Linked DNA regions of Macaca fascicularis. The protein of the gene in region 2 interacts with the protein of the main gene of each other region in a pairwise test. Links are inferred from orthologs where the notes say so. Each region holds a gene or a part of one and is shown on either strand. Other genes may lie near its edges. The genes, in order: SNW1, MTUS2, DCTN4, TLE5, FAM161A, TP53RK and CRY2.

The links.
Region 1: the proteins of MTUS2 (region 2) and SNW1 interact in binary tests that used the Homo sapiens proteins (3 or more experiments, as listed by UniProt). The two-hybrid records come from large-scale screens. The link is inferred for Macaca fascicularis from reciprocal best matches to the Homo sapiens genes MTUS2 and SNW1.
Region 3: the proteins of MTUS2 (region 2) and DCTN4 interact in binary tests that used the Homo sapiens proteins (3 or more experiments, as listed by UniProt). The two-hybrid records come from large-scale screens. The link is inferred for Macaca fascicularis from reciprocal best matches to the Homo sapiens genes MTUS2 and DCTN4.
Region 4: the proteins of MTUS2 (region 2) and TLE5 interact in binary tests that used the Homo sapiens proteins (3 or more experiments, as listed by UniProt). The two-hybrid records come from large-scale screens. The link is inferred for Macaca fascicularis from reciprocal best matches to the Homo sapiens genes MTUS2 and TLE5.
Region 5: the proteins of MTUS2 (region 2) and FAM161A interact in binary tests that used the Homo sapiens proteins (3 or more experiments, as listed by UniProt). The two-hybrid records come from large-scale screens. The link is inferred for Macaca fascicularis from reciprocal best matches to the Homo sapiens genes MTUS2 and FAM161A.
Region 6: the proteins of MTUS2 (region 2) and TP53RK interact in binary tests that used the Homo sapiens proteins (3 or more experiments, as listed by UniProt). The two-hybrid records come from large-scale screens. The link is inferred for Macaca fascicularis from reciprocal best matches to the Homo sapiens genes MTUS2 and TP53RK.
Region 7: the proteins of MTUS2 (region 2) and CRY2 interact in binary tests that used the Homo sapiens proteins (3 or more experiments, as listed by UniProt). The two-hybrid records come from large-scale screens. The link is inferred for Macaca fascicularis from reciprocal best matches to the Homo sapiens genes MTUS2 and CRY2.

The regions. Positions count from the first base shown.
Region 1 is NC_088381.1:145,686,436-145,689,992, forward strand, and holds part of SNW1 (SNW domain-containing protein 1), read right to left. Parts: intron 2,653-3,557; coding exon 2,536-2,652; intron 1,185-2,535; coding exon 1,043-1,184; intron 1-1,042. UniProt on the Homo sapiens protein: Involved in pre-mRNA splicing as component of the spliceosome. As a component of the minor spliceosome, involved in the splicing of U12-type introns in pre-mRNAs.
Region 2 is NC_088391.1:8,910,610-8,914,874, reverse strand, and holds the start of MTUS2 (microtubule-associated tumor suppressor candidate 2), read right to left. Parts: upstream 2,850-4,265; 5' UTR 2,849-2,849; coding exon of another isoform or gene 2,753-2,848; 5' UTR 2,647-2,752; coding exon 400-2,646; intron 1-399. Other genes in the region: uncharacterized protein, read right to left, coding at 2,753-2,848. UniProt on the Homo sapiens protein: Binds microtubules. Together with MAPRE1 may target the microtubule depolymerase KIF2C to the plus-end of microtubules. May regulate the dynamics of microtubules at their growing distal tip.
Region 3 is NC_088380.1:157,634,037-157,638,302, reverse strand, and holds the start of DCTN4 (dynactin subunit 4), read left to right. Parts: upstream 1-1,434; 5' UTR 1,435-1,460; coding exon 1,461-1,595; intron 1,596-3,960; coding exon 3,961-4,031; intron 4,032-4,266. UniProt on the Homo sapiens protein: Part of the dynactin complex that activates the molecular motor dynein for ultra-processive transport along microtubules.
Region 4 is NC_088393.1:3,763,046-3,767,168, forward strand, and holds the start of TLE5 (TLE family member 5), read right to left. Parts: upstream 2,815-4,123; 5' UTR 2,802-2,814; coding exon 2,574-2,801; intron 2,435-2,573; exon of another isoform or gene 2,072-2,434; coding exon of another isoform or gene 2,045-2,071; intron 1,765-2,044; exon of another isoform or gene 1,493-1,764; intron 1,148-1,492; coding exon 1,050-1,147; intron 1-1,049. UniProt on the Homo sapiens protein: Transcriptional corepressor. Acts as a dominant repressor towards other family members. Inhibits NF-kappa-B-regulated gene expression. May be required for the initiation and maintenance of the differentiated state.
Region 5 is NC_088387.1:60,093,756-60,097,312, forward strand, and holds the end of FAM161A (protein FAM161A), read left to right. Parts: intron 1-1,158; coding exon 1,159-1,313; intron 1,314-2,124; coding exon 2,125-2,269; 3' UTR 2,270-3,550; downstream 3,551-3,557. UniProt on the Homo sapiens protein: Involved in ciliogenesis.
Region 6 is NC_088384.1:102,741,265-102,745,396, reverse strand, and holds the start of TP53RK (EKC/KEOPS complex subunit TP53RK), read left to right. Parts: upstream 1-1,306; coding exon 1,307-1,589; exon of another isoform or gene 1,590-1,774; intron 1,775-3,742; coding exon 3,743-4,132.
Region 7 is NC_088388.1:20,015,739-20,019,858, reverse strand, and holds the start of CRY2 (cryptochrome-2), read left to right. Parts: upstream 1-1,279; 5' UTR 1,280-1,292; coding exon 1,293-1,507; intron 1,508-4,120. UniProt on the Homo sapiens protein: Transcriptional repressor which forms a core component of the circadian clock.

The DNA.
Region 1 (3,557 bases), on a different chromosome or scaffold from region 2:
GCCACTACTCTTCCCACCTGTCCTAAATATTCTGACACCTCATCTCCTGCTTATCCCCTTCTTTCTCATACAATCCAGTCACGTTGGCCTGCCTGCTCTTCCTTGAGCCACACTAGGCATACTTCCATCTCAGTCGTGTACCTGCTGGCCCTTCTGTGTGGGATGCTCTTCCCCCAGAAATCCACATGGTTTGCTTCCTTACTTCCTTCAAGTATTTCTGCTAACAGTACCATCTCAGAAGCGAGGGCTATTTGACCACTCTCACCTTCCAGCAATTTTATATCCTCCTTCCCTGTATTATTTTTCTTCCATATCAATTATTACCTTTTACTATACTACATCATTAACTTTTGTCTGTCTACACTCACTAGAATGTTGATTGTTATATCCCATCCCCCTACCCACTGTCTAGCAAAAACACCTTGTGTCTAAAAGAGAACCTTGCACACAGCAGATGCTCAATATGAACTAAATAGATGAAAGAATGAATAAATGTACCAGGTAAGAATTCAGTAATGAAAAAAACCACCCTCACAGAATTTCTTGAATTATAATTAGGACTCGACTTCCCATTCTAATTGAATTAATACACCAATGTAGACCACTAAGTAAAGTCAGAGAGAAAATACTGGCAGATTTAATGATGCATTAGAGCCTACAAGGTAGAAAAACTCCGGATTATTTCACCATATGAGGGAGTGGAATTATTCAGTTAGATACCTAATTTCTCTTAAGTTTTGAGATTAAAATAAGAGAAAATCAAGCCTATCATTTGAGTAATAATGCAATTTTTAAAAGTACATTGCTCAGAAGTTTAAAAACTTCTGGTACAGTCCCAAACTGAAGACCCACTTTTTTATTATCTCCTGTTGCTTCAGTTTACTAAGGCAGAGATTACTCTCCATTTCTACACTATATCTGAAGTATCTAAATTTTGTTTAGATGTACCTAACTTTATATGCAGTAGGAAAAAAAAGATTTTCTAAAATAGATGTATTTTGTTCACCAAGTAAAATTCAATTCAGTAATGAGAATGTCATACCTTTTTCCACGTGAGTTTTGATCCCAGCTCTTCTCTCCCTGGCTTTCTGAGCCATTTCTCTAAGTTTCTCTTCGTGTTTTTCCTTTTCTTTCTGAGCCATTTTTCTCTCTACTTGGGCACGCATTTCCACAGCTTCACGAGCCTGTTAGTAAAGTCACATGTTAAACAGGACACTATCATGGGATAAATATTTATGGCTGTCATCCAGCTCCCTAAAATCTGGCTGGTAAGAGCAATCATACAGAATTCAGATTTGTTACTGCTAATTAAAACAAAGAATCTTGTCCACTAAAAGATATCCTGCCTGGAAGACACTGCAAGGTCAGCTTTCTTCTCTGGGAATATTTTAGTGATTGAAACTATAGTGACCCCAATTAATCTTGTAAATCAAGTGTTTCACTAATGCTTTCTCAGAAACAATCTAAAAAACAAAAGTAAAGCCAGGCATAGTGGCTCTCTCCTGTAATCCTAGCACTATGGGAAGCCAGAGTGGAAGGACTGCTTGAGCTCCGGAGCTTGGGACCAGCCTAGGCAACATAGTGAGATACATCTCAAAATAAATCAATAAATAAAAAGGGACTGGTTACATTTTCAAAATGAATCAAGTCAACTCAAGATAAAATCTTAACTTACATCTGCTAGATAATTTTTATAAGGAACTCACTGTGATACAAGACTTTTTTTTATGTTCTAAACACATGCTATGATGCATGTGAACTTCAATATCATTTATTAATTCCATAATATTTATATTTATATATATTTTTTGAGATGAAGTGTCTTACTCTGCTGCCCAGCCTGGAGTACAGTGGTGCAATCTTGGCTTACTGCAACTTCCGCCTCCTGGGTTCAAGAGATTCTCCTGCCTCAGCCTCCCAAGTAGCTGGGATTACAGGTGCCCGCCAGCTAATGTTTATATTTTTAGTAGAGATGGAGTGTCACCACATTGGCCAGGCTGGTCTTGAACTCTCGATCTCAAGGAATCCACCAGCCTTGGCCTCCCAAAGTGCTGGGATTATACGCATGAGCCATTGTGCCTGGCCTAATTTCATAATATTTAATACATTATGCAATATTAATAGATGGCCAATGCTATGAACGCCATTTTATGTAGCATTCAATTCATTAGAATGTTTATCTGTCTTTGCCTGCAACTGCCTTTTTGTGGGACAGCTACATCTAAAATACAGGAAAATTTGAAATCAAGAATTACGAAACCTAGCAGTCTTCACAAAATGGGATCATCCCCAGCAAATCATTATTCTGGCATGTTGTGAGGGAGCCGGATCACCATTGTGGGGTGTATGTACACATCTACAAAGGCTAGGAGCATGCAGACAGCTGCCAACTAGCAGCTGCCATTTCTGACACACGTACCATGGGTGAGACTCTCTCTGGGTGCTTGGTACTATAGTTAAATTATCAGTACCTTAGGTAACCAAGAATGGATTTTAAAAGTAACAAGAGCATTAAACAAATTATAACCAACCAACCTTCCGATCAGCAATGTAGAGGGCTTCTGCCAGTTTGGCGAAATTTTCATTTATGTGTACTGTCTGTAGTCCTCTTCCATCAGCAGCCAGACGTTTGTCTAATGGAATTGTATAACCCTAGGGTGAAAGCAGACAGAAAACCCAGTCACAGAAGTGCTTCAATTAATTATTTGAAGTTAAATTAATTTAATTTTTTTCGAGCTGGAGTCTTGGCTCTGTCACCCTGGCTGGAGTGCAGGGGTGCCATCTTGGCTCAATGCAACTTCTGTCTCCTGGGTTCAAGTGAGTCTCCTACCTCAGCCTCCCAACTAGCTGGGACTATAGGCGTGTGCCACTACACTCAGCTAGTTTTTGTATTTTTAGTAGAGACAGAGTTTCACCATGTTGGCCAGGGTGGTTTTGAATTCCTGACCTCAGGTGATCCACCCTTAGCCTCCCAAAGTGCTGGGATTACAGGCACGAGCCATCAAGCCTGGCTAAAATTAAATTAAAATATGCCCACATTTTAGGACCCACTTAAACTTAACTGGGGTTCTTTTTCCTTATATCTTTCTTCACAACGACGCAAAATAACAGCAGCTATCAATGAGTGCTTTATGCAGAAGATCAAACACATCTATGGTCTCATTTAACCTTCATAATAACTCTATAAAGCTTCTAACATTGTGTCCATTTCACTGATGCTTTGGTAACATCCCCAAGGTCATACCGTTAAAATAAGTGGAGGACTAGGATTTAAACTCAGACAGTAGGATTTCAGAACCCAACCTCTGGAAAAATAGATACTTGTGCTGATAATTGTGGATTTTAATAAAAGGAAATCAGTGTCAAACAGTTCAACAGTTGCTCCTCAAATAAATGTAACAGTCAAACAAAGGCAGAATAAATCACTATAATCTTAGCATCTATAGGAAGTTAAATCTGCTGTACTCTCTTAATGATCTGTTATATTCTTAGAACCCTGAAGTTTTAGTAAATAGAAAAAAAAAGGCTGGGTGCAGTAGCTCAAGCCTGTAATCCCA
Region 2 (4,265 bases):
TACTCCCCATTGAGGAATGAGTCTGATCTATTTGAAGAATACAGTAATTTGGCATTCTTTCTTCCTTTGACCTGGCTTATATTATATTCACTTATTTAAACATGGAAGCCTATTTAATGCATACTCATCTAATTTCATACGAATTATAGCAAGTGAAATTTCAATGGGTCTCCTGAGATACTGGGTGCATCTTATTAAGAGAATCAGACTCTTCTAATTAAAAATGGTCATTTCTCTAGACAATCTCCTCTAGTCAAAGACTCCATTTCTTCACCAGTGTATCCATGGAAATCTGCAATTCACTTAAAGAGGACATTTTACTTTCATAACTCATTGAAAATATGTCACAGATTTTGGGACAGTCAACTTACAGACCATATCATGATGACATTCTCTTACCTCCTGCAAAAACTTTTCACTCATTTGACCGAAAGGATGTCCTGGGGGCTTGATTCCAGACACCATCAATCCGGAACTGAAGACCCTTGGCTTCTGCAGGTCTGGCTTGAATTTCTCATAGAGGTTGGCAGACGGCTTCAGGTCACCACTCACAGCCTTCTCTTCATGGGGAAGAGGCATGGTACATGTGGGCGGGGCATATGGAAGCCCCACTGGAAGCAGCGAGGCGTCCACCTGGCCCAGGGCCTGGGGACTCCTCCTGATGTAGGTGATGATCTTGGGCCTCACATGCTTGGGCTTGGGCATAATGACGGGCTTGGTTTCTGTCCTCTCCTCTGTTTTTTCAACCTGATGGTTCTCCGTTCCCTCCTGCGAGGAAGGTGTGTCCTTGGAATGTGTGAAGACAGGCTTGGGGATCCCACTGGGGCAGGCGTTCTTGTCAGGCACTTTGGGGGATGTGTTCGACAAGCGTGCACTATCAGCAGGGGGTGGTACCGCCAAGGGGGACACTGCATCCATACCGAACACGCTAACATCCTGAAAACGGCTACTGGGTGTTGTAGGCTGGTGGGTCATGTTCACAGTTGTCTCTGGGAGGAGGGGTGCTGGAATATTGAGAACTGAATCTACTCTTGCTGAGGTGCGTTCAATCTTATCAGCATTCTCTAGAAGGTTCCTGCTTTCAGCAACAGATGTGGTGATCTCTCTGCTTTCCCGTGCTTCTGAGCTGCCACTTTGAGGTTCCAGGGGCTCAGGCACCTCTGTCTGGCTCTCTCCAATGGAAGGATTGAACACCAGAACTGTAACACTGTCCTTGTCCACTGTGGGTTGCTCACTGCCCAACTGCCTTTCCTCCTCAATGACATCCAAGGGTTTGCTGTCAGTCAGATTAGTAGGAATAAAAGCCACATGACCATCACCTGGTGAAAAGCTGCCGGATGTCCTTTCACCCAACTTCCCACCTGCACATGGTGAAATGTTGCCAGTGGGCTGACTATCAGCCCCTCCTAAGGAAGCAGAGGCCTGTTTGGGGGTGGCGTGGAGAGAATCCGGCTTCCCTGGGTTGACTCCTCTCTTCTCTTCACTGTTGCCTCTTCCCACCCCAAGGTGGTGGAGGTCACTGTTTGGCAGAGAGCCAAGTGCATCGGTGGTTTCTGGGTGCGCCTCCCCACACAGATCCTTTCCCTCCAACGCTGAAAGATTCTCTTCCCTGTGGCATCCCAGATACCCTTCCTGGGCTGCCTTTCCCTCCTGTTCAACCCTCCTGGGTGAAACATATTTCAGCTCCAGCTTGGCCTCTGCCTTTCCCTGACCTAATTGTGCTTCTGGCTTACTCGGGATTTCCCTCGATGTCAAAGTCAGATTCAGAGCAGGCTCTGGATGGGCGGAACGTGGTATGTGCTCACTGCACGCCTGCAGTACATGTGCTCCCACTGTCTGGGTCTCTGAGGGGGTGCTCTGCTTGGTCTCTGAGGTAGATGGTTTAGGATGACGCACACTCTTTCCCTGTGAGGTACTGTCAGTTGGAGGGAACGCTGCCGGGAGAGCGCAGTCTGGCAACGTCTTCTGTGGCCCCTCCCCACCCCCAGGCACCTGACCCCGTGCTTCCTGGGAGTCAAGGGGTGCAGGCTGTGGATGCTGCGGAGTCAGGCTCCCGACTACAGCTACAGAGCTGCTTGCTCTTTCCAAAGAATGCCTCCTCAGTTCCTCATTGTTGAGGGTCTTTGCCAATTTATCCTTGGGAACGTGCCGGGGAATTTCAGCATCCCTTTTAGCCAAAACGTCTAGACTGGCCTCACCCATCACATTTCTCCAACTCGACAGACTCGGTCCCTGGATACTCCGCGGGGTCTGCGGGCTATCTGCGCCTCTCTCCATTGTGTGCTCCTCATTGAGTTCCCTCTGAATGGTTGAAGAAAGTCTAAAATCTTTCAGGCTGGTGGAGCCAGGCTGAGATCCCTTCTCAAAGCTCTGAAGTTGGTGAAATTCCTTATGGAAATGGGTACGGTTTTCTGGCTCACTTGAATTTGTATTTCCAATTTCATCTTCCAGGTCACATGTCTTGGACTCATCATGAGAGGAGCTGACCTCCAACATGATTTGATTGGCATTTGTATCTCCCAGACTTAGGATGCTCTCATTATTATTTCTTGCTGCATTTCTGTTGTCCCGCAGCTGAGTGTAACATGATTTCTTAGGAGCCACTGGGACGCTCATTGTCAACCCTTTGGTGGGGCTGCTTGCCATGCAGTCCTACTTAATGGAAATGGGCTGCCTTCAAGCTGCAATCAGATTAATAGGAAATTCTCAGGCTGCTTGTCCTCCCCTGACAATGTCAGCTTGTGACACTGCTTTAATCATTCTCAGAAGAGCTTGAAAAGCAAGCATTCTCTTGATATACAGCAGGAACTAGGTTCCGGCTGAATGAGAGCCAATTAGTCCGTGAAACCTAGAGAGAAATAAAAATACATTCACATTAGATGGACAAATAGAACTTCTCAGGAGGAAAAAAGTGGTAAACACAGATTTATTCGTCATTTCTATACTATTATTTCATTCACTCGATAGTTTTCTCAAAAACCTTTCTGATCAGGGCTCCTGCTGACCAAATACGGACAGAAATTAAACATCAGAATGTTTAATGTTAGAAATCGATTATAAATGCATGTGAAATCTTAAATCCAAATTTTAAACATCCACAAGTCTATACTGATACTGATTTAAAAGGGTGGAGGAGAAGTAAAGGCTCTTCTTTACAGAAGAGCATCAACGAATGTAGAAAAAAATTTACAGAATTTGAAAAATCACTATTTTGCAATCTCTGCATTAATAATTATCTTGCACAAGGGATGCCAAAGGTACAAACATTGGGTAAAAGATTGTTGGGGAACAAGATATTTATAGATGCTTAAAGTATCTTCCCCCCAGCTACTTTATTTCTTACAAAAAGAAAATTTGATCTTTACAATGGAGAGATCTGGTAGACACCACATTAACCACGTGATCAAATTTAACATCACTGGTATCGAAACTGACATGACGGACTCCTGATATTAGTTAGTTCTCAGGGCCACACATCACCTATGCAGTAATGTTCAACCAGAATTTAACCATGAGAAAATAACCTGGCGAATTTAAATTGAGGTATGTATTACAAAATAACTGGCCTAACTGGTCCCAAAAAAAAAGTCAGCAGAGGCTGGATTTTCAAAATATGTTAGCAAAGGATATTATTAGGACAATGAGAGATGTAAATATGGACTGTATATAAGGTACAGGTATGTCATAATTAATTTCCTTGGGTGTATAATCGTGCTATAATTATGCCAGAGATCATCTTTGTTCTTGAAATATCCATGCTTTAGAATTCAGGGGTAGTATGTCATGATTTCTCTAACTTATTCTCAAATGATTCAACCAAGAAAAACATGTGTATGTATGTGTGTGTGCATATGAGAAGGAGACATATGTGTGCAAAAGAGAGAAAGAAACTGGCAAAAGTCAACCATTTGAATATCTAATTAAGAATTCTACTACATCTGCAGCTTTTCTATAAGTTTGAAATTTTCCAAAATAAAAACTTGGGGGAAACGCTTCATTCCGGCCTTCGCGGCCTGCATGATCAGGCCCTGAACACCTTTCTGGCCTCATCCCCACCTCACCATCTGCTCTGCAGGCTGCTGCCACATTGGCCTCATTCCTCACAGTACCATGTTCATTACTCCCTGCCTCAGGGCCTTTCCACATACTTTTCCATCTGCATGGAATGTGGAACCATCCCCCAGCCTCATCTAACAAGTCCTTTGCATCCTTCAATATGCAACGTAACTACCACTTCCTCCAGGAAGCCTTCCTGACTGACTAGG
Region 3 (4,266 bases), on a different chromosome or scaffold from region 2:
CATAGGGGTTATGCCTGGAAGCACTAGAATCAGACAGAAAAGGGTTCTACCTCTATGAAACCTTACAGATGAGTCACTGCACTTCCCTGTGCCTCAGTTTCCTGCTCTGTAAAATAGAAATAATGATAGCCACAAGCCTTTTGGAGTTGTTGTAAGAATTAGACAATATATGTAAAGTTTTGACACAGTGTGCTGCATTTAATAAGTGCTCAATAAATGTTTGCTAATAGTATTCAGTTCCCTTTCTCCTAAATCACCAACTCTAATGTCAGACAGGTAAATAATACAACACTACTACAATTATAAAAACGCAGACCTGGTAGCAGGCAACAGAGGCTCCAGTTTCTGCTAGGCAATTCTAGGTGGTCATTTTACATACTGTGGAGTCCCAATGAGAGAAAGGGAGTCAGGCTAGTAGGACCAAGGGAAAGCAAAAAGAGCAGATGCGCTCTAAGTCTGCCTTTCTTCATGGTGCAGGACACATAGCCCTCCTGTGCAAATAACTCACAATCTTCCTGCACTCAGCTATCACGAGACACATGCAAGTTAGCTCCCTGTAACCTTGGAGTTATGGGTATTGCACAGCACTCTGCAGCCCAAGAACCATCCGATAAAATCTCCAGCAAGTCTTTGTTTCCTTGAAGTCAGCTCCTCTCTGGCTGGTCGGCCCACTGCAACTTTTCAACGTATTTCCATACCTTTTCTAATACATCTGCATTTCTTTTAGGTTGAATGTATCAACCTAAAACTGTTGATATATTCTTTTCCCACTCACGTAATACCAGTCTCACATAGTCGCTGCTCACCCAAGACGCAGACCTGAGCCTTAGTTTACACATGAGAAAAACGTAGATGCCTACCAACATTGTTCATTCATTGATTTCATTCCCTCCTTTCATACTTATTGAAGGTCCACAATACACACTTAGACCTAATGCTAACTCTGTACTCAAAACCTGCGTGGAGGAACTCACAGCCTGAGTTTCAAGCGAGATAATGTATGTGAAAGTTCCCAAAGGCCATTGGCAAGACTCAGAAGACAGTGCTGGTGTGACTCTTGTCTTTCAGTCCCCACGGAGCCCTGTCCCTTTGAGACCTTCCATTTGTCTCCTGGATGCTCACCTGTTAAGTGGGGCAGGGGAGGCCGTAGTAAATAAGACAAAAGAGCTGCCTTCCATTCTGGAAGAAAAGAATAAAAGGAGCTCACTGAGTCCAGACCTAATGACAGGAAGAGCAGTGGACGCTCACACAACCGCTGGGGCACAGGCCCAGGGTTGGGGAGAAAACTGGGATCCCAGCTGCGCACGCGCGCTCTGGTTTTCGACGGGCGCAGAGCAGGACGAGGTGGGAAGCCTAACGTCAAAGTCTACGTAGGAAGACGTAGGGAAGGCAGCTAGGAAGACGCTGGCTCTCGGGTCACGTGATGCGGCGGGAGGTTCGTCGGCTCCTCCCTCCCCAAGATGGCGTCGTTGCTGCAGTCGGACCGGGTTCTCTATCTAGTCCAGGGAGAAAAGAAGGTTCGGGCCCCGCTCTCGCAGCTCTACTTCTGCCGCTATTGTAGCGAACTGCGGTCGCTGGAATGTGTGTCTCACGAGGTAAGGGAGTCGCCCCATAGCGAGTGTGGGGGGTGGGGGGCGCGGCGTTCCTCCTAGTCACTGCCACCAGCGGGCTGGAGCTATTTTCCTTCCTTACTGATTGGTTATGTCTTCCGTCACTCGGCTTTGCCTGCGATTTGATTTGCTTATAATCTGTCACTTGGAAAGGAGGAGCAGCCTCGGGTGGGGCTGAGAGGATCTTCTGGTTCTAGAGCGGCCTCTGATTGGACAGACTTGACTTAGGGACCGTGTCTGTCTCCGATGGGGCTTTGTAATTGGGTGGACTACAGAGAAAGGTCTGGGGGTGCTTAGTTCAGTTCATTAGAGGGGCGAAAAACTGCCTTTCCAGCTTTTATTGCGAGGATGGAGGAAGGCGCAGGCGTTCTCATTCATGGTTCTCCCATCGTGGAAGTTCTGCTCCTCTTTTGTCCAGAAATTGGGCCCTCCTCAGACTGCCCTTGCCCTGTTCCTGACTCAGGCCAAGGCCCGCAGCCGGGGAGAGGTTGGGGCGGCGTGAGTTATGTGCAAAGCCCTCAGGATACAGTATGTCATGTAAGAAGCTGAAAGTGTATTCATGGAGCTAGAGAACGATCTGTCCTTCCCTGGCATGAGCGGGCGTCCGAAGTTGGATTTTTCAAAAAGAAGACGACCCCGGCCAGTAAAAAGTCACCAAATAACAAAACCCCAAAACTTCTGCAGCGCTTGGCACATCTTGTTTATTCAGTAGGCTTAAGGGATTAAAAGGCGAGTAAGACATAACATGCGCTGTTTAATAAGCCATAGTCTAGTGAAGAAAAAGCTGATAGTAATAATAGTTGCTGCTTGTTCGATACTTGCTATATGTCATGTGATTTATGTAATCTTCTGTCCAAACCAATGAAGTGGATACCTTTAAGAAAATTTTTTTTTACAGGTAGAGAAACAGATACAGACTGTTTGCTGTAAGTCACACAGCCAGTAATTTGGGGGTGGGAGGGAGGGCCTGGATTTGAATCTAAACAGCCTAACTCAGAGTGTTTTTTACTGAAGATCCCGGGACTGTTAAAATAAGTGCACATGAAAACACATACTATAAACTATTTAATGTGTTATTAATAACTTATTTTATTGAAGATACTTTTCATAATAGAAATAGTCAAGAAAAGCAATAAAATAATACAAGAAAAATCGTAAAAATATGGCATTGATTTTTCTTCTTATCTCCATTAGCACTTTCCTTGTGTGTATCTCCTTGATGATTCCCTATTCCAGCTCCACCTCCAGAATTTATTGGATCATATTCTTCTGTGGTGAACAGAGTGCTCAGTCTCCATGATCTGTCTCTAAGGGTCTCTTCAATTAGGACATCCAGTCTGTGACAGCATCTTTTACAGCCTGATGTGTACCTGTGATGTGGAGGCCATTAGAGTTTAGGGAAAGATGAAGCTCTGAGGGCTGGGGCAGGCCGTGGACGTTCTAATGGAGAATCTGGATCTGGAGCTGCACATGAACAGACAAGCAGAATATGGAAAGGGGGCAAAAAGGAATGATTTGTATTTTGCCTTTTTTGATGAGTCAGTGCAGGTACTAGCAATACTGTATTTTGTGTTCCTGGAGATTATTTGAACAACAACTTTATTAATCTTGTCAAATTGACCTGTTTATAGCAAATGATGAAAAAAGTCAGTTTCTGTCATAGTATTTATGTTCCAGTGATTGTCTCTTCATTTGCAGGTGACTAGAGTTCTGTAATTGTCAAATAGGACCTACATTAAAGAAAATAATTATTCAGACTTTGAAAAAGTAAAATGAACTTAATTTTTTGACTCCCAGTTTTTTTAAGTACAATAAGACTGTCCCATTAATTTGTTTAAGAATCTCTAATTGGTTGGCTGTGGCTGACTATGTAAATATTTATGCTTTCCTTGAGTCAACCTGTATTACTTCAATAATGAGAAATCTTTAAAAAAATTTCCTTCAACAATTAAAGTATGGTCAAGTTTTTATAGTCATATAAAGCTAGCCTAGACAGGAGGATATTTTATCACAACTTTACAAATTGAATTGTTTTATTAAACTCTTCATTAGATTATCATAGAATTCTATGGAGTTCAATTGGAAACTGTAGATTGTTAAATAAACAACTTTCAACACATAAAATCTCAATGATGGAATAGGAGAGATGAGAAAAATAGAAGGGTTTTTTAAATCCAGAAGGAAAAAAAAACACACAAAAACAAAAAACAGGTGACTGAAGAATAAACCCTAAGCTGAGAACAGTCTACCTTCTGCTACAGTATAACATATTTTAAAATTCACTATTTGACAAGACATATACACAAGTTAAACTGAGTTCTCCTCTTTCTTTTTTCTTGTTTCCTCCTAGGTGGACTCCCATTATTGTCCCAGTTGTTTAGAAAATATGCCGTCGGCTGAAGCCAAACTAAAAAAGAATAGGTAAGACCTGGATATATATATTTCTTTCCCTGTTTTCCTTGACTGTTCTCTAAAATAGCTGGTTGAAAAGACACATGGGCCAGGCATGGTGGCTCACACCTGTAAACCCAGCACTTTGGGAGGCTGAGGCGGGGATCACGAGGTCAGTAGATCGATACCATCCTGACTAACATGGTGAAACCCTATCTCTACTAAAAATACAAAAAATTAGCTGGGCGTGGTGGCACGCACCTGT
Region 4 (4,123 bases), on a different chromosome or scaffold from region 2:
GAGGGCCCCAAGGCCAAACGGGGGTTTGAGCGTAGCCTGACTTCCTCCAGATTCCCAGGCCCGGCGTGCCCCTCCAGAGTAGGGCAGGTGAAAATCTGTATCCTTAAACCTTAAACCAGGAGAGAGACCTGGTGCAAACCTCAGCCTTGCCACTTCCTCAACGCTACGGACATCCCCGAGGAAATAACCTCTCTGGGCTTAAGTTTCTTCTTCTTTTTTTTTTTTTTTGTTTTTTTTCGGACACCGAGTCTCTCTCTGTTACCCAGGCTGGAGTGTGGTGGTTCGATTTCTGCTCACTGCAACCTCCGCCTCCCGGGTTCAAGCAAGTTTCCTGCCTCAGCCACCCAAGTAGCTGGGATTACAGGCGTCTGCCACCACACCCGGCTAATTTTGTATTTTTAGTAGAGACGGGGTTTCGCCATGTTGGCCAGGCTGGTCTCGAACTCCTGACCTCAAGTGATCCACCCGCCTCAGCCTCCCAAAGTGCTGGGGTTACAGGCGTGAGCCACCGGTGGCACCCGGCCTGGGATTAAATTTCTTTAAGTGTAAAAGGACTAAATAGTTCCTTCCCCTTAGATACCACAGCATGGCAAGCTCTTCAGAAACGCCAGGAGATTTCTGAAAGAAGCACCTGGGAGAATCTGACTGATGCTGGGAACCCTTTCTCCAAAACTGGGCAAAGAGAGATGACCAGGCTGCAAAATGTTTGTTTTGGGGGTTGGGGGGACGGCGAGTCTGTGCCCTAACTCCAATTGTCTTTTATCCAAGGGGGGACTTGGGGGGATTGGGTAGGAGGGAGGGGCTCTGAAGCCACACAGCTGAGTCTTTGGGCAAATTATTTAACTTATTTTGTGCCTCAGTTTTGTCCTCCACAGAATGCAGCTGTTTAAAAAAAATGAATTCCCTATTTGTCAAGTATTAGGTCAGAGTCTAGCATACATTATTTTCCCAATCTCCCCTCCAGGCCTCAGCCTTGCCATCTGCGCAGAAGAAATGGGGTGGGGGGCTCACCTTCTCGGGACGCAGGGACCCTCGGCCCCCCAGCTCACCTGTGATACTGAGCTTGCAGTAGCTGAAATTCGTCTTTGATGCGGTCGCAGGAGTCCGAGGTGGTGAATTTGAGTTGCTGGGGTAGGTGCGAAGAGCCCTGTGGGGAAGGGGCGGCCCGGGTCAGGCCCTGGCTTGGGCTGGACCCCCCTCGAGGGCCAGCCGGGAGGGAGCGGCCGCGCAGCTGCGGCGCCCCCCCTCCTGCCCCACTTCCTGGGCCCGTGTTTACGGCCCCTGGCGCGGCCCCCACCCGCGCTTCCTGCCCCCCGCCTCTCCCGGGGGAAGCCGAGAGGGTGGGTGCGCCCGGAGCCGCCCCGACCCCCGCCACCTCCAAGCAGTGGGGGTGCGTTTTAAGGCCTGCCCTAGATGGGGGGCAGGGTGCGCCCTCTACCGCCCCTCCAAAGCGCCGGGAGGGAGTGCACATCCGAGGGGGGTGGATACGCACCCTAGGGAGCCCCCTCCCCAAGTTGGGGGGCAGCGAGTCCTCCCAGCAAAGCCCTCTTGGGGGAGGGGTCTCTCGGCGCCCGAAATCTTCCCGGGGGGCCCACCCCAGATTCCCAGCGCCCTTCCTCGGGGACGCGCTCTTCCGGGAGGGGTGCGCCTCGGATCGCCCCCCCACCACAGGCCCCCAAAGGATCCCCGCGCTAGAGGTGCCTGGCGGGGCTCCCGGAGCGCCCCAGGCCCGAGGCCAAGGCCGTCCGAGGCCCTGCCTGTCCCGGCGAGGGGGGGGGGCGCCAAGCCGGGAGCTGGGACGGGGGGGCTCGGGGCCCGGAAGCTGGGGTGGATCGGGAACTGGGGGGTGTCCGGGGGCCGGCGGCAGGAGGGGGGTCGCGCCGGGCTTGGAGCTGGAGAGGGAAGACAGGGCCGGGGAGTTGGGGGGGGTGCCGGGCCGGAGGCACCGGGCCTGGGGGTGGGGGGCGCGGGGCCGGGAGCCGGGGGTGGGGAGCGCAGGGCCGGGATCCGGGGTGGGGGCGCCTGCCGGACGGACCCCGCTTACCGAATGCCTGCTTTGTGGAAACATCATGTCAGTCGCGGCAGGGGGCGCGGGCTGCGCCCCGGCTGTGCGCCCCGGCTCGGGCTGCTGGGGGCGCCGGGCGGCCGCGCCTTTGTCCCGGCGCCGATCGGCAGCTCCCGGGGCCGCCGCCGCCTCCCGCGCCGGGCCTCGCCCGCTTCCTGCGCCCCCTCCCCGCGCGCCCGGCCCCGGCGCGCCCCGGGCCCCGCTTCCTGCGCGCCCGGCGCCCCTCCCCGCCCCTCCCCGCCGCCCGCCTCCCCGCTCCCCGGCCCCACCGCTATTGTCTAATGGCGGCGACGCCGGCAGTGGCCGCGGCTCGGCTGATGCAGAGGCTCCGGCTCCACCTGCCGCCGCCGCCCGTGCCCCGTGCGCGCCGCCGAGGGGGGGGAGGCGCGCGCCCGGGGAGGCCTGCGGATCCCCACCCCGGCCCGCCTCCCCAGGGCCCGCCCGCCGCGGTGACCTTGGGCCCCGCCCGCCCCCGCCCCGGGCCGCGGCCCCCGCCACCCCCCCCAACCCGGCAGCAGGCCGGGCCTCGGTTTCCCCATCTGTCAAAGAAAAGGGACCCGGCTGCCCGCGTCGAAGCCGCCAGCCCTGCCGTGGCACGACCTGGACGCGTGCCACGGACGTGCTCTGTGACCTTGGCTCTGGCTGGGCGGTGGTTCTCGCTGAGCCTCAGTTTCCTTTTCTGCAGAAAGGCAGCGGTAATGCCGCCTTTCTCAGGGAAGCCATTCTTGCGACACATTTATAGAACGCCTACTGTGTGCCAGGGCCTGCTGCTCCAGGGCCCTGTGGTGGGGGCGGGGGTGGGGGGTCCCTGCTCTGGTGGTGGTGCCTGGAGACAGACAGAGACAAATTAACAAGCTGAATTCCCAGCAGGTCAGATGGTGGGGACGGTTCTGCAGAAAAACCAGCCGGGAGGATGGCAGGGTAGGAAGATGCAAAGTTAAACAGGTGGCAGGGAGGATCAGAGAGAGCTTCCTCCGCCCCTAAAACGACCCAAAGAAGGAGAGAGAACAGGGGGATGGGGTACAGAGGTACTCAGAGGCAGGACCAGCAGGTGTAAAGGCCCTGGGGCAGGACTGTGCCTGGCATCAGGGTGCCAGGGCGGAGGTCAGGAAGGCCGGAGGGAGGCAGGGCCTGGGGCTTCATGCATTTGCCCAGGCCCCCCCACTCCTCAGCAGGGCTTGTGCTTGGGTTAATATTTAGTGCTGCATTTTGAGATTCCTAATCATTTTTGAACAAGGGGCCTTTCAGTTTTCTTTTGCACTGGGCCCTGCTAACTCTGTAGCTGGTGAAGCAGGCCAGTCCAGCAAGGACTTGTGGGCCATGGGGAGGACTTGGGTTTTTGGGTGAGTGAAGTGGGAGCCCTGGAAGGCTGTGGGAGGAGGAGGGATGGGACCTGGTGGTTTGTTTTTTGTTTGCTTTTGAGACGGAGTTTCACTCTTGTTGCCCAGGCTGGAATGCAATGGCACGATCCCAGCTCGCTACATCCTCTGCCTCCCGTGTTCAAGTGATTCTCCTGCCTCAGCCTCCCGAGTAGCTGGGATTACAGGCACGTGCTACCACGCCCGGCTAATTTTGTATTTTTAGTAGAGACGAGAGTTCTCCATGTCGGTCAGGCTGGTCTTGAACTCCCGACCTCAGGTGATCCACCTGCCTCGGCCTCCCAAAGTGCTGGGATTACAGGCGTGAGCCACCTTGCCCAGCTGTTTGTTTTTGAGATGGAGTCTCACTCTGTTGCCCAGGCTGGAATGCAGTGACGTGATCTTGCCTCACTGCAACCTCCGCCTCCCGGGTTCAAGTGATTCTCCTGCCTCAACCTCTCGTGTAGCTGGGATTACAGGTGCGTACCACCATGCCTGGCTAATTTTTGTATGTTTAGTAGAGATGGGTTTCACTATATTGGCCAGGCTGATCTTGAAATCCTGACGTTGGGTGATCCTCCCGCCTCTACCTCCCAGAGTGCAGGGATTACAAGTGTGAGCCACCGCACCTGGCTTTAGACTTGTGCTTTTGCTCTGAGTGAGGTGGGAATCCTGGAGAGCCGTGGGAAGAGGAGGAATG
Region 5 (3,557 bases), on a different chromosome or scaffold from region 2:
AAAGATTACAACACTGGTGCTTTTATCATTAATGAATTGGGGATATGGCTCATAAAGAGTAAAAATTACAGTAGATACATAAAATAAAAGAATTTGGCTGGGCGCCATGGCTTATGCCTATAATCCCAGCACTTTGGGAGGCCAAGGCGGGTGGATCACTTGAGCCCAGGAGTTTGAGACTATCCTGGACAACATAGTCCCATCCTACAAAAAATACAACAAGCCCCATCCTACAAAAAATACAAAAATTAGCAGGGCATGGTGGTGTGCGCCTCTGGTCCCAGCTACTCCAGAGGCTGAGGTGGGAGGATCGCTTGAGTCCAGGAGGTTGAGGCTGCAGTGAGTTGTGTTCACACCACTCCAGCCTGGGTAACAGAGCAAGACCCTGTCTCAAAAAGAAAAGAAAAGAATCCTCTGACAACAATTATTGCATGAAATCTTTTTTTCAGATATCTTTATAAACAGTCATAAAAGTATATAAAACCTAGGTACAATATAAAAAATAATTATAGATCAATCTAATGTGGCCGCCACCCATGTTAACAGACCATTGCCCGCACCCCAAAAACCCTACGTGCCCCTTGCAAATCACAGCCCTTCTGTCTCTCCCCAAGAGGTAACCACCATTCTCTCGGGATAAGTACTTCCTTGTTTTTCATTGCAATTTTACAGTGTGTGTACCTATCCTCAAACAATATAGTTGTTTTGCCCATTTCAGAACTTTATATAGATCATACAATATGTACTTGTTAGTGCTTTGCTTCGTTTGCTCAGTATTATATTTGTGAGATCCATCCATGTTGTGGCATGTAACTGTAGTTCATTCATTTTCATTGCTTTATTTTACTCCATTATAGGAATAGACCACAATTTATTTATCCATCCTTCTGCTAATAGATATTTGGGTGATTTCCAATTTGGGGTTATTGAAGGACAGTACTATCCTGAACATTCTTGTATATGTCCTCCCTTGGGACACATATGTGGGAGCTTCTCTGGGCATATTCCTAGGAGTGTAATTGTTGGTCATAGGGTATGCAGATTTTCAACCAACTGTGACTGCTGAACTTAATTATCACTGGCACTTTTAATCCATACATTTTTAATGAAAATTTAAAGTCTTCTGTTCTCGTCTAAAAGGGTTTGTCTTTCCTATAGAAAAATGCAAGAATGGCAGCAGAAAAGCATTATTCTAATACCCTAAAAGCACTAGGAATATCTGATGAGTTTGTTTCAAAGAAAGGCCAAAGTGGAAAAGTACTTGAGTACTTCAACAATCAAGAGACAAAAAGTGTCACTGAAGACAAAGAAAGGTAACATGTATAAGATGTCTGAATGGCTTACCTTTGAAAAAGTATTACCTGCAGAAAAGCACAATTTTATACTATATATATTTTTTGTTCTATATTGTTTTAAAAAGATCTTTTACCCAATAGTAAAAGACGTGTGAACTGTTGTAAAACATACTGATATTTTAACATGTTTGACACATTAACGTTCACATGAAGTATTTTATTTTTAAAGCAGAATAACTTAGATTTCTTACTGACATAAGTAACAAAAATAATAGCATGCTTTCAAATGAAGTTTAAAGAATCACTCAAATTTTGAAATAGGGCAGGCGCGGTGGCTCACGCCTATAATCCTAGCACTTTGGGAGGCCGAGGCAGGTGGATCACAAGGTCAGGAGATCGAGACCATCCTGGCTAACATGGTGAAACCCCGTCTCTACTAAAAATACAAAAAATTAGCCGGGTGTGGTGGCGGGCGCCTGTAGTCCCAGCTACTCGGGAGGCTGAGGCAGGAGAATGGCATGAACCTGGGAGGCTGAGCTTGCAGTGAGCCGAGATCACGCCACTGCACTCCAGCCTGGGTGACAGAGACTCCATCTCAAAAAAATAAAAAAATAAAAATTTTTGAAATAAATTAATTTTCAGGAATATTAAATTTCTCAATGGGCACTTTTATAGCATTTTCTTTCTTTTTTTTGAGCTGTCTTGATAACAAATTGGAATTCATACACTTGAGGAAGACTGGCTACATGGTGGCATACTTGCAGAGGGTTTGTTTACTTTTAAACTAACTCATTTTTCCTTTGAAAGATTGATAAATTTCTTCCCCTAGCTTTAATGAAGAAGAAAAAATAGAAGAAAGAGAGAATGGGGAAGAAAATTATTTTATTGATACCAACAGCCAGGATTCTTACAAGGAAAAAGATGAAGCCAATGAAGAAAGTGAAGAAGAGAAATCTGTTGAAGAATCACACTGAATCATCAAGGTCTTCTCTCTATGCCCTTGCTGTTGTTTGCAGCGTCAGGGTGTCAGCAGCTGCATTTGTGTTTAGAACATCTGTGGGGATGCCTCTGATATGTGCAGGGCTGTTGATCAAAGTCATCTGTAGCCTGAAAAGCCTGAATCCAGCTGATTGGTCATTTGATCAGTTAGAGTAAGGCTTTGCCTATTCAGTTTTAAAAATCACTGGATATGATCTGTTTGCAACTATGATTTTGTATTTTTAAAAAGTGTTTCAGAACCACAGCTGTCACAAACTGATTAGTTTTAAAAAAATACATTATTTCATTAATTTTACTGGAAAAAATGGCGTAGTATTGAAAGCAGAGAGAAGTATTGGTCTTTGGTGATTTACTTTTTAAAAATTTTGGAAAGTGTGAATCAATAAGTATTTTTAATTATACTATTTGCCCATTCTTTTTCTCTGCAATACATTTCACAGAATAAATCCTCGAACTTGTTTTGCTGCTCTGAGCCATTTTTAAAAGTATAGAAAAAAAATAGATACTTGCAAATTTACATTTATTTTTGCACTGAAAGTTTACTGTTAAATTGTCTACACCATCATCCCTTTTTCTTTTTATCCTTAGTTCTAGTCCAAATTATTTTTGATATTATTGGGAAAGTTTTTGTACTAGCTTTTTTAACCCTATGTATTATTACAGATGGAAGGAATTATGGCATGTGCTAAATTAGGGGCAAGTATCCCTGTTTTATATATGATGAAATTGTGCATAATAACTTGGCTAAGGCAAGTCTTCAAAGTAATTCAGATTTAATTCTTTACTGCTAGACCCAGTTGTGTTCAACTTTTTACATATTATTGCCAACACGCTTTGTCTCTCTGTGTACAATGTTAATCTGATTTTATAAATCTATAATTTTTTTCTGTAAGCAAATTTTTGTTTTAAAATTTGAAGTCAGTCATAAAGATAATACAGCATAAGACATTTTCTTCTCTAAAAACAATCAGCATCATTTTAAAAGGATGAACTAATACAGGTGTATGTAATAGCAGTGTTTCCCAACTGGCAATTTATGCTTTAAATTAAAAAGTAAGGTCGTTTTTCTCCATTGGGGCAAATGTTTACTCGTAATTTTCTCCCTACAGTTTGTGTTAAATTGCTTTTCACTATTATTATATTGTAAACTCCTTGGGAGTTGGCACCACTTAAAAATTCATCTTTGTATTCCCTTAATATTTGGCACAGGATTGTACATATGGTAGGTACTTAATAAAGGTTTGAATGAATGTGTAGATGAAT
Region 6 (4,132 bases), on a different chromosome or scaffold from region 2:
TCCCCAAAATGATGAGTATGTTAGGTAACATTAACTAGCTGGATTTAGCCACTCCACAATGTACACATATTTCAAAACATGTTGCTCATGATAAATACGTACAATTTTTAATTTCCCTTATGTACCTCTTCATCTGGCTGTTCATTTTTTATCTTTTATACTATCTTTTATAATAAACTGGCAATAGTAAGTAAAGTGTTTTTCTGAAAAACAACAAACTGGAAACAACTGCTTAGCAACAAGAAACTGCCTGACCAAGTAGAAGGATGTGGTAGTTCTGTATGTACTGATATGGAATATAGTCCGAGATAAATTGTTTAGGAAAATGAAATGCAAGTTGCAAAAGAACCCACAGTATGATGTCATTTATGTTGGAAAAAAGGCCACAATGATGTGTGAGTGTGCGCACTGAATAAAAGAAAGTTCTGGAAAGAAACTAACGGCCAGCGGTGTCACAAGGAGGATGGGCAGTTTATTTATATGTGTGTGTGCGCGCAAAGTTCCGTATTGTAAGAATTTGCTACAGCCTGTGTTATTAGCTTTGTAATGAAACAGGTAGAAACTGAAAAAGTTTAATTCCTCCCAATTCAGTTTAGGTTCTGTCTCCGGAAAACTTTCCTGGATTCCCCAGCCCCCACTCCCCGCCCCATCCCACCACCCCCACTGCCCTCTCTGAGTCTCAATTTTCTTTTCTGTAAGGATTTTCATCATTTAATCTTATTTCTTCTGAATGCACTAAATGGTAGTTATCCTAGCACTTAAGAGGATGTCGGAAACACGGTTCATTGTCTGACCCTTCCGACACTGACTAGTATGAGTACATTCTGGGGGGAATTTAGGAGTCAGGGGAAGAGGTGTTCCAAAAAGACACTACTAGAGGGTGCACCTGTCCAGGAGGAGACTCCTTAAGTGAGCAAAGAGCGTCCGACGTTTTTCTCGAGAGGAGCTGAAGTTCTCCGGAAAGAGACGACCAACTGGGAGGTGATCTCCCAAAACCGGTTGCGGGAATCACCGAAGATTTCCGGAGAGCCAAGGAGTAGGGAAGAGCCACTTACCGAGAGTTGCCGAACGTGTACGGAGATAGCCGAAGAGGTGAAAGGCGGGGCCACAGGAGCCCTTCCTGCAGGGAACCCAAGGCTTCAGAGAGCCGAAAGGTTGGGAGGCGTAACCACTCACAGGCCGGAAGTGTCCGGGGCGGAAGCGTTCGGGTAACCGAAGAAGTACCAGGATTTCCGAAGCGAGCCGAAGCATCGCGACAGTTTTCAGAGAGAGCGGGTCGGTCGGAGCTGTACCGCCGAGCACAGTCATGGCGGCGGCCAGACCTGCTGCCCCGGACGATGGCGAGGAGCCCGCGCCAGAGGCTGAGGCTCTGGCCGCGGCCCGGGAGCGAAGCAGCCGCTTCTTGAGAGGCCTGGAGCTGGTGAAGCAGGGCGCCGAGGCGCGCGTGTTCCGCGGCCGCTTCCAGGGCCGCGCGGCGGTGATAAAGCACCGCTTCCCCAAGGGCTACCGGCACCCGGCGCTGGAGGCGCGGCTTGGCCGGCGGCGGACGGTGCAGGAAGCGCGAGCTCTCCTCCGCTGCCGCCGCGCGGGTAAGGAGGGCCCGGATCCTGGCGTGGGCGGCCCCGAGGCTCTAGGGCCTGGGCGGGTGAGGGACTCTCCTGCGCTCCGAGCCACGGTTTGCCTCAGTTTCTCCTTCTGTGCCTTCTGCCGTGGCCAGCCTTTCGGAAATGTTATTCTTTCATCCCTTTCTTCATTCGTTAAGTCTTAAGAAACCACGTGGCCTTGCAGCGTCAAGCGTTTGTCCTGGGGCCGTTCTGCCAGGTTCAAATCTGGACGCTGTCATTATTGCTCAACGTCGAACATCTTTAACTTCCCTGAGCCTTGATTTCCCCATTTGACTCGTTTCAATTTTCGATCATTATCTTTTCATTTATTAGTTTTAAGAAACATGTAATTACAAGTACTTGCCCCACTGGAGCCAGGCTGTCTGGGTTGAAATACTAACTCTGCTGCTTATGTAGCCTTTCAACAAGTTATTTAGCCTCTCACCTTCGGTTTTTTCACCTGTAAAATGGGAGACATAGTAGCAATATCCATGTCATAGGGATGTTGTGACCATTAGAGGAGGTCTGTGTGCAGTGTATTATGTTCGAATGTGTGCCTGGCACATAGTGCTCAGTAAGTGTTGGATTTCATTAAATTGCCTATTTATTGTGCGCCAGCGCCATAAACCTTGTCCTCAGTTGAGAAAGTGACACTCAGAGAGAAGTAACTTGCCCAAGGTTACACGGCTACTAAGTGGCCGGTCCAGGCCCTCAGCTCCGTATGCCTCTGACTCAGAAGTACTGGCTTTTTAATTTTACGCTTCGTGCCTTTCTTTTATTAGTATTTTTTAGGTACTTGTGGGTGCCAGGACATTGTTAAGTGCTGGGAGATCTAGCAAGGGGGGACATTCAGTAGCCAACAAGCAGACACATTGCTGCCCTTTCAGAGACTGAAGATTTCACGAACTTATTTGTGTGTTCATATTTCTGTTTTCAGCCTCTTATGATATGTTTCGTTAAGCAGAGATTGTATTATAGCTGGCTTGTTTATTGCTGTATCCCCATTGATACATCTCTCAGTTTCTAGAAAAGTATACTGAGCCTGGTTGACTTTCAGTAAAAATTCATTTGAGTTTATTGTAGCAGAAACTGAGACTTAGAGAAGTTAATGTAATTTTTTTTTTTTTTTTGAGACGGAGTCTCGCTCTGTCCCCCAGGCTGTAGTGCAGTGGCCAATCTCGGCTCACTGCAAGCTCCACCTCCAGGGTTCACGCCATTCTCCTGCCTCAGCCTCCAGAATAGCTGGAACTATAGGCGCCTGCCACCACGCCTGGCTAATATTTTGTATTTTTGGTAGAGACGGGGTTTCACCATGTTAGCCAGCATGGTCTCGATCTCCTGACCTCGTGATCCACCTGCCTTGGCCGAGAAGTTAATGTAATTTTAAGATTAGATTAGACAACTAATAAGAAAAGGAGCTGGGATTTGAACCCTGTCCTCTCTGACTGTGAAGATGAACCTCGAAGCCAGCACACTGCTTGGCCTCCTGTTTGTGTCCTCATCAGTAGAAACTGCTCTGACTGGGCTGTGCCTTGCTGTTTGTTTTTGTATTTTGAGACAGTGTCTCACTTTGTCACCCAGGCTGGAGTGCTGCAGTGGCGCAATCTCGGCTTACTGCAACCTCTACCCCCTGAGTTTGAGCTATTCTCCTGCCTCAGCCTCCCGAGTAGCTGGGACTACGGGTGCATACCACCACGCTCTGCTAATTTTTGTATTTTTAGTAGAGATGGGGTTTCACCCTGTTGGCCAGGCTGGTCTCGAACTTCTGACCTCTAGTGATCCGCCTGCCTCGGCCTCCCAAAGTGCTGGGATTACAGGCATGAGCCACCACACCCAGCCTTTGTTTTGTTTGTTTTTTAGAGAGTGAGTGTGACAAATGAAGTTCAGTGAGAAAGGGTGGTTTGGAAGGGAGGAGGAAGCTATGGCCTCCTCAGTTTAGCTGTGGGGTGGTCCCAGGTATAGTCCTGCAGGGGGCAGGAGCAGGGGAATATTCCATTCAGTTGTACCATTCCCTGTAGCATTCCTAAATCATCCTGAAATAAGTAGATATAGATGGAAAAACTGGCTTAATCTTTGAAAATTAAGTTTATCCATTAAAAAAAAATCCAACCCAATAACCACTTATGTCTTGATTTCAGGAATATCTGCCCCAGTTGTCTTTTTTGTGGACTATGCTTCCAACTGCTTATATATGGAAGAAATTGAAGGCTCAGTGACTGTTCGAGATTATATTCAGTCTACTATGGAGACTGAAAAAACTCCCCAAAGTCTCTCCAACTTAGCCAAGACAATTGGGCAGGTTTTGGCTCGAATGCACGATGAAGACCTCATTCATGGTGATCTCACCACCTCCAACATGCTCCTGAAACCCCCCCTGGAACAGCTGAACATTGTCCTCATAGACTTTGGGCTGAGCTTCATTTCGGCACTTCCAGAGGATAAGGGAGTAGACCTCTATGTCCTGGAGAAGGCCTTCCTCAGTACCCATCCCAACACTGAAACTGTATTTGAAGCCTTTTTGAAGAGCT
Region 7 (4,120 bases), on a different chromosome or scaffold from region 2:
ACACTGGTTTAGAGAGTGGTGCCAATTAATGCCACTAAATTGCAGACTAAATTGCTAAATGCTTTCATCACACTGTCCCAGGTCCAGGAAGGGTTCCAAGCATGGGCTCAACCTAGGGCCAAGTTGAAACTGACTGTTCTCCACCTGATAACCCCAAAGCTGCAGCTTGACTAAGCCATCTTAGCCTTCCCCAACACCTTGTTGCTGGTGTTTATAGCTTCTCTTGCCATTTAGTCAGTCAATCAGCAAGCTCTATGCTAGACGCCAGAGGAATAAGAGGGTTCCACCTGGCGTCCCAGAAGAATGGGGACAGTGTCCTCCACATCTCTGAACCCCACCCGGAATCCAGTACAGTGCTTTGCACACAATAGTACCACTGGATCTACTAAACAGACTAAAAGAAAATAAATTCATCTGATGGCATAATTACGAGCTCAAGTCCTCCACATTCCCAGTCCCTACTCCCAAATCCTCTAATGCTGCGTATCAGGGCACTCCTTCTCCATCCTTGGACTCTGCCACTTGGAATTACCAAGGATCTTCGCACAAAGAGAAGTATAGCTTCGTGGATAAAAGCAGAAGTTTCAAAATCAGAATAATATGGGTGAAATCCCTCTTAGTAGCTTTATGATACTGAGCAAGTCGCTCAACCTGCGGCACCCTCCATTTTCTTCATCTGTAAAACAAAAATAACAGCAGCTCTTCCACTGGTGTTCGTTAAATGAATGTAACTGGGCTGAGTTCAGAATAGTAAATGAGACCGACTACGTAAGGAGATGATCATGTCTCTTGCCATATAAAGTGCACTTAATAAATGGCAGTTGTAGTAGAATGATGTAGATGATGCTGGTGACGATGTTGGTGATAATAGGAAGGTCAGTTGTCAGTTTTGCAAGTCTCTGGCTGTAGTCACAGCAACCCCTACCAGCCCAGGTAGCTTCTTCTAGAAGCAGGCCCTGAACAGGACATGTGTAAGAGATCCGCTGTACCTCGAGACTCGGCCCACTCCCGGCCCTCCGCGGACTGTGCCAGCCTGCGTCACTTGTCCGCCTGCCAGCTCCACCCAGGCGGACCCACACATGGTAGGAACGTGAGGGGGCGGGGCCTGTTCTGGCGTCTCTGGGCCAATCGCCGGGCGGGAGGCACTCAGCCAATGGCACAGGGGCTCTAAGGCCCTGGGGGCGGGGACGAAGGGAGGAGCTGCGGCGTCATAGGTCACTGGGCGGTCTGTGGGCGGGGTCCGCGTCGCCTACCGGGGCGGAGCGGGGGTGGCCGGAGCAGTCTGGACAGTCATGGCGGCGACTGTGGCGACGGCGGCAGCTGTGGCCCCGGCGCCAGCGCCCGGCACGGACGGCGCCTCTTCAGTGCACTGGTTCCGCAAAGGGCTGCGGCTCCACGACAACCCGGCGCTGCTGGCGGCCGTGCGCGGGGCGCGCTGCGTGCGCTGCGTTTACATTCTCGACCCGTGGTTCGCGGCCTCCTCCTCAGTCGGGATCAACCGATGGAGGTGAGGGGACCCGGGGCGGGGTGGCGGGGACGCAGCCAGGACCCTGACCCTGGGGTGACCGGCAAACAGCACGATTCTCTCAACCTCTCCACGGCTGTGAGGCCGTGGAGAAGCCGAGACCGGGGAAGTAATTCGTCATGGTCCTAACGCGCCGGTGGGCCAGGGCTCAGCCTCTGACAAAGCGCGTTCGCACTGTTACCCCTCTGAGCCTCACAACTGCCTGTGGAACGGAGATCATGATCCCCGTTGTACAGATGAGACCCTTGGGCCCTGGAGACCCAAAGTCGACCTGTCCAAGGACTTGCAGCCAGTGAGTGGCGGAACAGGGGCTCCTGGTCTAGGGCTCTTATGGTCTACTCAGGGAGGGGCAGAAGGAGATACTGTGGTGTGAGGGCGGGACGGGTTTTTGCTCGCATTCTTCAAGTAAAGAGCCCATTGCTGGGCTCGGGGAGATCATTCCTAAGCCTCTGGCTTGTTTGAATCCGCCCTACCACCCATCCTGGCTTCCCTGCGCCCAGACCGTCCTGCCTCTAGGGGTGTCAGGTGACCCTGGCTTAGCATTAAATAAAGTCTTCTCCCCTATATTATAAATAAAGAAGCCAAAGGTGTCTTCAGGTGGAATCGCGTTGTGTTCAAAGCTCCAGAGAATCCAGGGGATTCTCCAAAATGGTTTAAGCCCTGCTCTGGAGCTTTGACCTCGATAAAAAAAATTTAAAAGGATCCAAAGTGTCACCCCGTCATCCTCTTGTCATGATTTTAGAGGACAGTTGAGCCATTAGAGATGAGACTTCTATGAACTGTTGTGCTAAGGTTAGGGAGCAGGAAAGCCATGATATCAAGGGCCCCTCTGATGACCCCCCAGGAGATGGAGTCGACATGATCATGGAAAAAGATGAACAGGTCGTTAATGTATTTTCTTTGTAAGCAGTATTCAAATTAAAGAGTTTTGAGACATCATGTACCCATCGCTCTTCAGAACACCTAGTGGCAGTCGCTGGGTTTGTTTACATTGTTCTGGGGAATGTTTGCTTGTGGCCTTGTTGCACTGATGGACAGGGTTATTTCCAGGATACCGTGGCTCTCGGCACACCATTCTTTTCTCTCCAAGGTGTGTACCCTGCTAAGAGAGTGAGTGCTCCTAGCAGTAGGTCTGTTCAGTGTCCCCTCTTGCCCAGTTTATATAGAAGGAACAATTAAAGAGTCCTGTGGAGAGCCTGCCCACAGTTTTCAGGCTGCCTTATTGCTCTGTCTCTGCTCCAGTTTTCTACAGATAGGAGGTTGGGTTTGACAAGCATCATCAAATGACCATCCCTAGTGTGGACATTAAGCCAAGCCTCAGACTGCCCTGCACCAGTCAGAGCCAGCCAAATGGAATCCGACTACCTTCTTGTTACATTGTCACAGAGTTTCTTCTTTTATTGGGTTTTGGGGGACACTGCCTAGTACTACCTACTCTTTTTTGATAGGGGAGATTAAAAATCAACAATAAAATTCCTGTTGATTAAACTCCAGTTTGCTAGGAACCAGGTGTTTATGGATTTTTGTGGGTTATCGTTTTGTGATTGTGCTGTCAATCTAGTGAAGGAGAAAAGGAATGTGGCTTAGATGCCTGAGTCAAATCCTGAAGTCAGAGGCTGTGTAGGAATGCAGATATTAATTGATTACTTAATGAATGCCTAATATCTGCCAGGTAGTGCTCTAGATGTTGCTAGGGATACAGCAGTGAATAAACAGATGTGTCTGTGCTCCAGAACTCCTGGAGCCTACATTTTATTGAAAGAAGACCAGCAAACAACCATAATTTAGTGAAACGAAGTGCCATGAGAAACATAAGATAAGGGGACAGACTAGAGCAGTGGTTCTCAATCTTGGCTGCTATGTATTGGAATCCCATAAGGATCTTTAAAAGATGCCTGGGCCCCTTTCCCCCAATTCTTTTTTTTTTTTTTTTTTTTGAGATGGAGTTTTGTTCTTGTTGCCCAGGATAGAGTACAATGGCACAGTCTGGGCTCACTGCAACCTCCGCCTCCCAGGTTCAAGCAATTCTCTTGCCTTAGCCTCCCAAGTAGCCAGGATTACAGGCGGCCACTGCCACATCTGGCTAATTTTTTTGTATTTTTAGTAGAGACAGGGTTTCACCATGTTGGCTAGGCTGGTCTCAAACTCCTGACCTCAGGTGATCTACCCACCTTGGTCTCCCAAGCTGCTGGGATTACGGGGCATGAACCACTGTGCCCAACCCCTTTCCCCCAGTTCTGTTAGAATTGTTCTTGGTTATGGCCTGGGCATTAAGGTTTTGGGGTTTTTTGTTTGGTTTTGGTTTTGGTTTTTGGTTTTTGGTTTTTGGTTTTTGGTTTTTGGTTTTTTGTGGGGTTTTTTGAGACAGGGTCCTGCTCAGGTGACAACCCAAGCTGAAATGCAGTGGCATGATCATAGCTCACTGCAACCTTGACCTCCTGGGCTCCAGCGATCCTCCTGCCTCTGCCTCCCAAGTAGCTGGGACTGCAGGCTTGCACCACCATGCCTGGCTAATTTTTGTATTTTTTGTAGAAATGAGGTTTCACCATGTTCTCCAGGCTGGTCTTGAATTCCTGGTCCTAAGCAATCGCCTGC